Tamandua tetradactyla: one gene and its partner. The protein of the gene in region 2 interacts with the protein of the main gene of each other region in a biochemical or structural test. Links are inferred from orthologs where the notes say so. Each region holds a gene or a part of one and is shown on either strand. Other genes may lie near its edges.

Region 1 (3,909 bases), on a different chromosome or scaffold from region 2:
CGACGGAAGGAGACGAAGACGGAAGGAGGGAGGCGGGGCCGCGGCGGCGCGGCAGGGCCAAGCCGAGGGGCGGGGCGAGAGGCTCAGCGGGGCGGGGCTGAGAGGCTCCGCCCCTGGCGCGCGAGGGCGGTGCCGCGAGCGGGTCCCGCTCACCTGGCGCTGCGCGGCCGGCCTCCGGCAGGGGCATGGGGAGAGCGCTGGGGAGAGCAGGCAGTCTGTCTGCTCCCGAGCTCGGCCTTCGGCACTTTCCCCCAGGTGCTGGCAAAGGGGGCGTGGCATTACTTGTCGCCCCCCAAACTCCCTACCTCCCTTGGGCGGAATCGGGCTTCCTCGGGCTCGCCGCTAGGCCATGGGGGGCGACGGTGCTCCCGGGACCCCAACCTCGAGTGGCTTTCAGGGGATGCCGAGACGAGCACTCAGGGTAGACCGAGGTCTCTATAGATCACGCCAAGCTAACCGATCAATGCACCTAACGAAAGGAGGGTTATGTGTGAAGGCGTGAATTTCACCACAGGACTCGAGGGTTTAAGACAGTATTTGTCTCATCGGGGATCTTGCAGCTGCACACCTTAACTGGGCTGAAGGACAGCGTCTGCCCTTATCTTTGGGGGGAGCGAGAGTTTGGGACTAAACTGCCCCCCCCCAATGCTCCCCATTCTTTCTCTCCTAGGGTTTTTTCTACTCCTAAAGTGCTTCTCCCCCTGCTTTGGACTTCTTTTCCCCTTTACCCTTTGGGTTTCTTAAACCTCCTCACCTGCGGAACCGCCCTCTCACCTTTGTTTCCGGGTTCCCCAGCCCCGCCTCGGCAGCCTTTCGCAGCCGGAACCGCTCTGGCCCTCCCTCTTCTTCGTACCTGTCTTCTCCGCATCCCCTCAGGTGCTTTTCTTCGTCACCAGCCCATTCTCCCTCCGACCCCAGCTGACCGCTCTCCTAATACACCTACATTTCCTCTTCTTGCGCCGCGCGTTCTCCCTGGCCCCTCCGACCCCCCGCCTTCCCCGCTCCCCCGGACCAGCGTCGCGGGCGCCCAGACCCTTCCCCTGCGCATCTTCCGCGGCGAGACTGGCGGGCGGCGGGGACAGCCGGGCGGGTGGGGGAGGGACGGCGGCCAGCGGCTCACTCTAACCCGGAGGTGCGGCCCGACCGGGCCTGCCCCCCGGGCTCGCGGATAGGCGGAGTCGTCGCCTGGCCCGCCCCTCCCCGCCGGGCTCCGCCGCCGATTGGCCCAGGTGCGTGTCGGGTTGGGCGTCTCTGCCCGCCGCTCGCCCGGGGGAAAGCAGCAGGGGCGGTTGAGAAGTGAAGTCTCGGCTGGACTTTGGTTCTCGCCAGGAAATCGGCGGTGGCTGCGGTTTGCGGCGGAGCGGAGCCCGGGTGGCCCCCCGCTCCCTCGGCGGCCGCGGCGGGCGGGCTGAGGCCCCGGGAGCCCAGCGCCGCGGGCAGGCGCCTTTCCCGTGAGTAACTTTGCTGACCCGTCCGCGGGGTCTGGGCAGCCTCAGGTGTGGGGGCCGGGGCGGGCCGGGGCGGGGGAGCGCCGTGCCGGGAGCGCCCCGCAGCCTCCCCCGAGGGCGGCACCGAGCCGGCCTCACTTCGACGGTAGTGTGCGGCGCTTTTGATGGTTGGGGCCGCCGCCAGGCAGGCGCTTTGGGGCTTCGGCCACCGTGTTACTGATCTGCGTCTTTTGCTTTTTTGGTGAGGGAAGAGGGGACCTGAGTTTTATCCTTCTCGTGTTTGTGTGTGTGTGTGTGGTGAAATGTGGGGCACCAGCTGCCCCCACAACCCATCGCTTGCCCCTGGGTAGGCATGAGGACAGCGCTTCCCCTCCGCCCAGCCTGTTGCCTGTTCCCCCGCCTTCCCCTTCGGGCTGCAAAGGCTGGGAGAGAGGTTTCACGTCTTCGAGGTGGTGATTTCAGAGGACGGATCTTGATTTGGAAGCAGTTCCACCCAAAGCACGAGTCAGGAAATGCATCACTCGTTTTTTCAAAGCTTTATGCCACGTTTTCAACCAAGGGTTTTTGACTTACATGGAGTGTGTCTTCTGATATTTTAGTTTATATTTAAGATTGTTGGCCCAGATGTTCGTACCTCCCAGGAGCTAAAGAAAACTCATGCCTGGAGCTTAACTGTATAGTTTTTTAAAATTATTTTTTAATTACAGAAATCAGAAACTAAGTTGAGTCAAGGCAGTGGCAGCGCAGGAGGTGAAAACAGTTGTTGGCTCCCGTTCATTGAAACTGCCTTCTCTCTACGAATTTCACATTCTTACAGTAGAAGTACTTAGATGTAAATTGGCCTTCCTCCCAGGACAGATTTTGACTTTTCTTTTGGATGCACTCTTTCCAAGCACCAATGAAGCTGGATCTCAGTAGATCGATGTTATTTATTCTGGTAGATTTGATTCCCATCCCTAGGCCTCCTTTGGAAAGTGTACTTTGGCAGGTAAAGAAGGAAGTGGGAAATCTAGTATCACTTTGGCCTGTCAAAGCTTTGTTGAACCATAAATAACAAAGTTTTTTTCCTTTTTAGCCTGCCCAAGTCGCGCATGTGAGTTTTCCCATAGGGGTAGAATGTAGGCCAAATCCAGCCAAGGTAGAATAATTCTACCTTTAATTCATTCCACTTGTGTGCTATCATTCCTAATTCTGTATCTCGTTCCTTTCCATTTCTCAAGTTTTAAATTTTTCATGGTTGATTCATTTGTCAAAGAATAGTGTGCCTATTGCCTGTCAGATACTGACCACAAACAAAGTTTGGTCCTTGCCCTGAGGTTGCTCCTAGTTTTGGAAGCAAATAACATACCTCGAGTCCACTAGGGCCCTGAAAATAAGTTGAACTAGCTGCTATAGAAACATAAAAGCGGGAGGAAATGCCACCTGTAGTTTGTCAGGGAAGACTTCACCTAGGGTGCTTACCTATCTTTTGAGAGTGGGATTTTGCTAGTATATTCTAGGCAGAGGTACTTAAAACCTATAGGCCACTTGGACATGCAAATCTCTTTAGGGCATTGCACCTGAGACCTGCATATCCTTAGTCTGACTGAAGGACAGACAGGACCTGTCTGGAATTGGAGTTGTCACAGGCTTAGTTGTTACTCATTTAGGAGTACAGAGCACTTTACCTTGCTAACAGGAGGCACTCGCTATTTATTGGACTGATTTTTCACAGAAACGTGAAGGGTTTTGTCAACCACGTTAAGAAATTTGGACTTTATTCTGTCAGTGATATGGAGCTGCTTATTTTCTGTGGAGAATGTCGTGATAACATTTGCATTCCTGACAGATGTCTCCGCAGTAGTCTGAAGGATGGTGAGGGTCCAGATGGGAAGTAGGGAAACAGAGTGGGAGGCTGCCATAACATAGAGGTTAAATGCAGTGATTTGAAACCCGCATTGCTTGGGTTTGAATCCTGGCTCTCTCACTAACTCTCAGTTTCTTATTCTCCAAGTTTGGAGAATAAAACTTGATAGAACATGTGCATTGCTTAGAAAAGTGCTTGGCACCTAGCAGGCACTTAGTAAATGCTTGTTGTTATTCCAGATGAAGGCAGTGGCTGTGGGGATGATGTGGGATTTAGGAGGTTCTAAGTGGATGGACTTGTAAGTGACTGGATATGATTAATGAAAGAAGGAGGATTCCTAGCCATTTTAACTTGAGGCGTTGGAGTGTACTGGTTAAGCTGGCTGTAGGAGTCAGAACAGGGTTAGAATTCCAATTCTACCACTTACCACCTGAATTATCCTGATTTAGCTTTGGTTTCCTAATATCTAGGAAATGATCATAGCACCTTAACTAGTACGGTGTGCGGATCAAATGAAATTACACATATAATTCTCTTGGCAGAGGGCCTAGCACATTCTGAGTGCTCAATAAATATTAGTTGTTCCTTCAGTGATGATGACATTAATGAGCTAAT
Region 2 (3,901 bases):
CTTCCACCCCATCAGTCGAAAGAAAGGAACAAAAAAATACCGGAGCGTCTTGATACGCCTTGGGAAGGGAGACCTTTCGCCACCACCATCCCGCTTGCTCACCGTAGGCACCTGTTTAGGGTCACCCTTACACCTAGACCCACCTTAGAGGCAGCGTCACACCTACATCCATGCTTTAGCCTGAGTGGACGCCCATCGAGCCTTCCTCGCCCCAGCATCGGATCCACACAGGCAGGGAGCCGCCGCCCCGCTCTCAGTCATGCAGTCCTCTCCAAGCGAGCTTTAAGAGCGCCCTGTTTGTCACCCCTGCTCTCCCTGCCTCGAGCAGGCATCTCCATTTAGCGAGGGAATTCCAGAATGTGCGGGAGCAGACACCCTACGTCCTCGCGCCCCTCCCCACTCACCCGCGCGTCTGCTTCTGGCTCCCCCTCCTCCTGCCGGGGGCTGGCGGTCAGGTGAGGCTACCTGGGCGCCCCGACAAGCCCCAAGGGGCTCTGTGGTACTTGCTCTCGAAGCCGTCCCACTCCCCGCCGGGCCCCCAGGACTCTCGCCTCCTCTGCCCCCGCGCGCGTCCCCTGCCCCTCGGGCCCCGACGCAGCTCCAGCCGCACGCGGCGCTCCGCTCCCCTCCGCCGACCTGGCGTGACGCAGGCGGAGACTACTTAAGGGCGGATTAGAGGCGGCGGCCGCGGATTCCCGAGCCCGGCGGCCGGCTCCGCGCGCTCCGCCCCGGCTTCGCAGAAGCCAGCGCGGGAGCTCCAGGTGCCCACTAAAGTGGCAGGCGTGGGGGGCTAGTGCCCGCATCCTCCCCGCCGGCCTTTAGCCCCCGGGGGACGGCGGCGCCTAGAAACCTCTCTCCGGCGGGTGAGAGGTCGCGGACCCCGCGCGCTGCCAACCCCGCCCCGCCCCTCCCCGGGGCACCCTCGGGCTCCAGACCTGCCCCCGGACGGCGCCGAAGGTTGGTGCCGGCTCTCGGGACCGCGCCAGCTGCCCCAGCAGTCGGGACGCGCTTGGATTTCTTTCCCCGTTTTCCTCCTCTAAGTACAATAAAAGGGAGAGGGGATTGCTGGTTAAATTTTTTAAAATTTTGTTTACTTCTTTAATTGGGGGGCAATTCGCTCCCAGTCGGGAGGTGCGGCCCGGGGAGGGGCCAGAAGCGGGAACGTGCCCGGTGCTGCCCAGTCTTTGTCTGCTGCCTCCGGATGCACAGCGATGGGGGAATGGACCATCTTGGAGAGGCTGCTGGAAGCCGCCGTGCAGCAGCACTCCACTATGATCGGGAGGTAAGGGCGCTGAGCCGGCTGTCAGCGGGCCCTGTCGGGCGGCCCAGGGGGTGGAGTCCCTCCTCACGTCCCTGATCGAGCCCCATAGCCCCCAGCCCGTCCTCTGCCCTCTAGTCCTCTCTTCGTGCGCATGTGTCTTCGGCATTGAGGGATCGTCCCACGCGCAGGGATGACCCTCCTCTGGCTACTCTACACCATCTCCTCATCCTTTCCGTATGGAGCACCGCCAGGGACTCCCTCTTTCCCCATCAGAAAGGGATTTGCTGGCTCAGTCTTGGTCCCCCACTCTCCAGAGTCAGAGCCAATCTCCATATGTTTCCCTAAATGGAATCTCCCAGAAAGGTAGGTTGTATTTGGCAGAGAAGGGCAAATGGGGAGATGAATTTGCTCTTTGGAGCAGCTGTATCTTTTCCCAACAAATGTTTATTATGCTATACTTATTTGGCCATGAAAATTTCGGTGTCAAGAATCCACACACCCAATTACCTATGTATATATAATCATAGATATCTGTTTTTATAGAGCATTAGGTTCAATATTCATATTGAGAATAAAGTAAACACGTGGAATAGTTATATACACACACTGTGTAAATCTTGAAACATGCATTCTCTGTACAGGTGCTCCATGTGCATTTGCCATATCTAAGGTAAAGATGTGTTTTGTGCCTCTGTGTACATTCCAGATATATAGATGAACTCTGTCTGTTGTAAACACCGTGTCCAATATGTGGAGCTGTTTATACTTGGGATCCCTATGTAGTACTATGAAGTATTCCCAGTGTACCAGAAAGGAGAGAGACAGACCAGTTAGCCAGATTTCTATTTCAGTACCACTCATGGGCGGACAGCTCCCCAGTCAAGGAACCCAGTGAGCACCAGAGCAGAGAAGGGAGGAGCAGGGCTTTCCTAAACCAGTGATTCAGCCCATGAGAATTTCTCTCCCTCCCTCTTCCCCTGCTCAGGATCCTGTTGACCGTGGTGGTGATTTTCCGGATCCTCATTGTGGCCATTGTGGGGGAGACGGTGTACGATGATGAGCAGACCATGTTTGTGTGCAACACCCTGCAGCCGGGCTGTAACCAGGCCTGCTATGATCGCGCCTTTCCTATCTCCCACATACGTTACTGGGTCTTCCAGATTATTATGGTGTGTACCCCCAGTCTCTGCTTCATCACCTACTCTGTGCACCAGTCTGCCAAGCAACGAGAACGCCGCTACTCTACTGTCTTTCTAGCCCTGGATAGAGACCCCCCTGAGTCCATGGGGGGTCCTGGAGGAACTGGGAGTGGGGCCAGTGGCGGGGGCAAACGAGAAGACAAGAAGTTGCAAAATGCCATCGTTAATGGGGTGCTGCAGAACACAGAGAACACCAGCAAGGAGACAGAGCCAGATTGTCTAGAGGTCAAGGAGCTGGCGCCACACCCGTCAGGAATGCGCACTGCAGCGCGATCCAAGCTCCGACGGCAGGAGGGCATCTCCCGCTTCTATATTATCCAAGTGGTGTTCCGAAATGCCCTGGAGATTGGGTTTCTGGTAGGCCAGTACTTTCTCTATGGCTTCAGTGTCCCAGGGTTGTATGAGTGTGACCGCTACCCCTGCATCAAGGAGGTGGAATGCTATGTATCCCGGCCTACTGAGAAGACAGTCTTTCTAGTGTTCATGTTTGCTGTCAGTGGCATCTGTGTTGTGCTCAACCTGGCTGAACTCAACCACCTGGGATGGCGCAAGATCAAGTTGGCCGTGCGAGGGGCCCAGGCCAAGAGAAAGTCAGTCTATGAGATCCGTAACAAGGACCTGCCCAGGGTCAGTGTTCCCAATTTTGGCAGGACTCAGTCCAGTGACTCTGCTTATGTGTGAAGGTGTGGATTTTGAGAACGACTGGGGGATGATAAGCATCCCCCAGGCAGCTAACTGCTCAAGGATGGCTGTATCTGCCCTCATTTATGTGACTCTCACTGTTCAGATGTAGGATAAGGCTGGTTCAGATCTCTTGCATCAGTGGGAGAGGAGAGAAAGTAGAACCATTAACATACGTCACACCATTGGCCCTACAGAGACAATTGGTTAGAGTGATAAGATGGACGATTTGGACGTTTTGGGGGCTCTCTTCTTTTATGGCCCAGCGTGATCCTGATAGTAATGGGTTTGTGCAGCTACCAAGTAGGACTTAACCCTGCCGAGCTCTGAATACTGGTAAATGGTGTGAACCAAATACTTTTTTAATACAAAATTTGTGAACTATCTCAATGCATCCTTCATCCTGGGCTGCAGGACAAACATCCTTGAGGCATCCTTTATGTATTGTCCCTATCAGCATGCCCCTCCTCCTCGACCCAGGATAGCATATCAGCTTTTTTTTTTTTCTGAATCTGGCCTTACAGTGGACCTAATATGGTTCATCTGCAAGCTAGAGGGAATTACTTGGGGTGTTTTTGGAGTTTGACCATGACAGGTTTGCATTAGAGCCCCATCTGACTGGCCCTTAGTTTATTAAATCATAGGAATGTCTCAATATTTCCAATTTTCTAACTCAGACTGCACTGGTGCTGTTTATTAGGGGTGGGGGATGGGTGGGAGGGAGGGAATTGCAATATGCAACTGGCACAACTTCTGTATG

Evidence for each region.
Region 1: the proteins of GJD2 (region 2) and LNX2 form a complex in vitro, tested with the Homo sapiens proteins (2 studies listed by BioGRID and IntAct, with this or other methods). The link is inferred for Tamandua tetradactyla from reciprocal best matches to the Homo sapiens genes GJD2 and LNX2.

The regions. Positions count from the first base shown.
Region 1 is NC_135330.1:192,862,277-192,866,185, reverse strand, and holds the start of LNX2 (ligand of Numb protein X 2), read left to right. Parts: upstream 1-857; 5' UTR 858-876; intron 877-1,252; exon of another isoform or gene 1,253-1,451; intron 1,452-3,909.
Region 2 is NC_135340.1:47,824,937-47,828,837, reverse strand, and holds GJD2 (gap junction delta-2 protein), read left to right. Parts: upstream 1-1,211; coding exon 1,212-1,282; intron 1,283-2,246; coding exon 2,247-3,141; downstream 3,142-3,901. UniProt on the Homo sapiens protein: One gap junction consists of a cluster of closely packed pairs of transmembrane channels, the connexons, through which materials of low MW diffuse from one cell to a neighboring cell.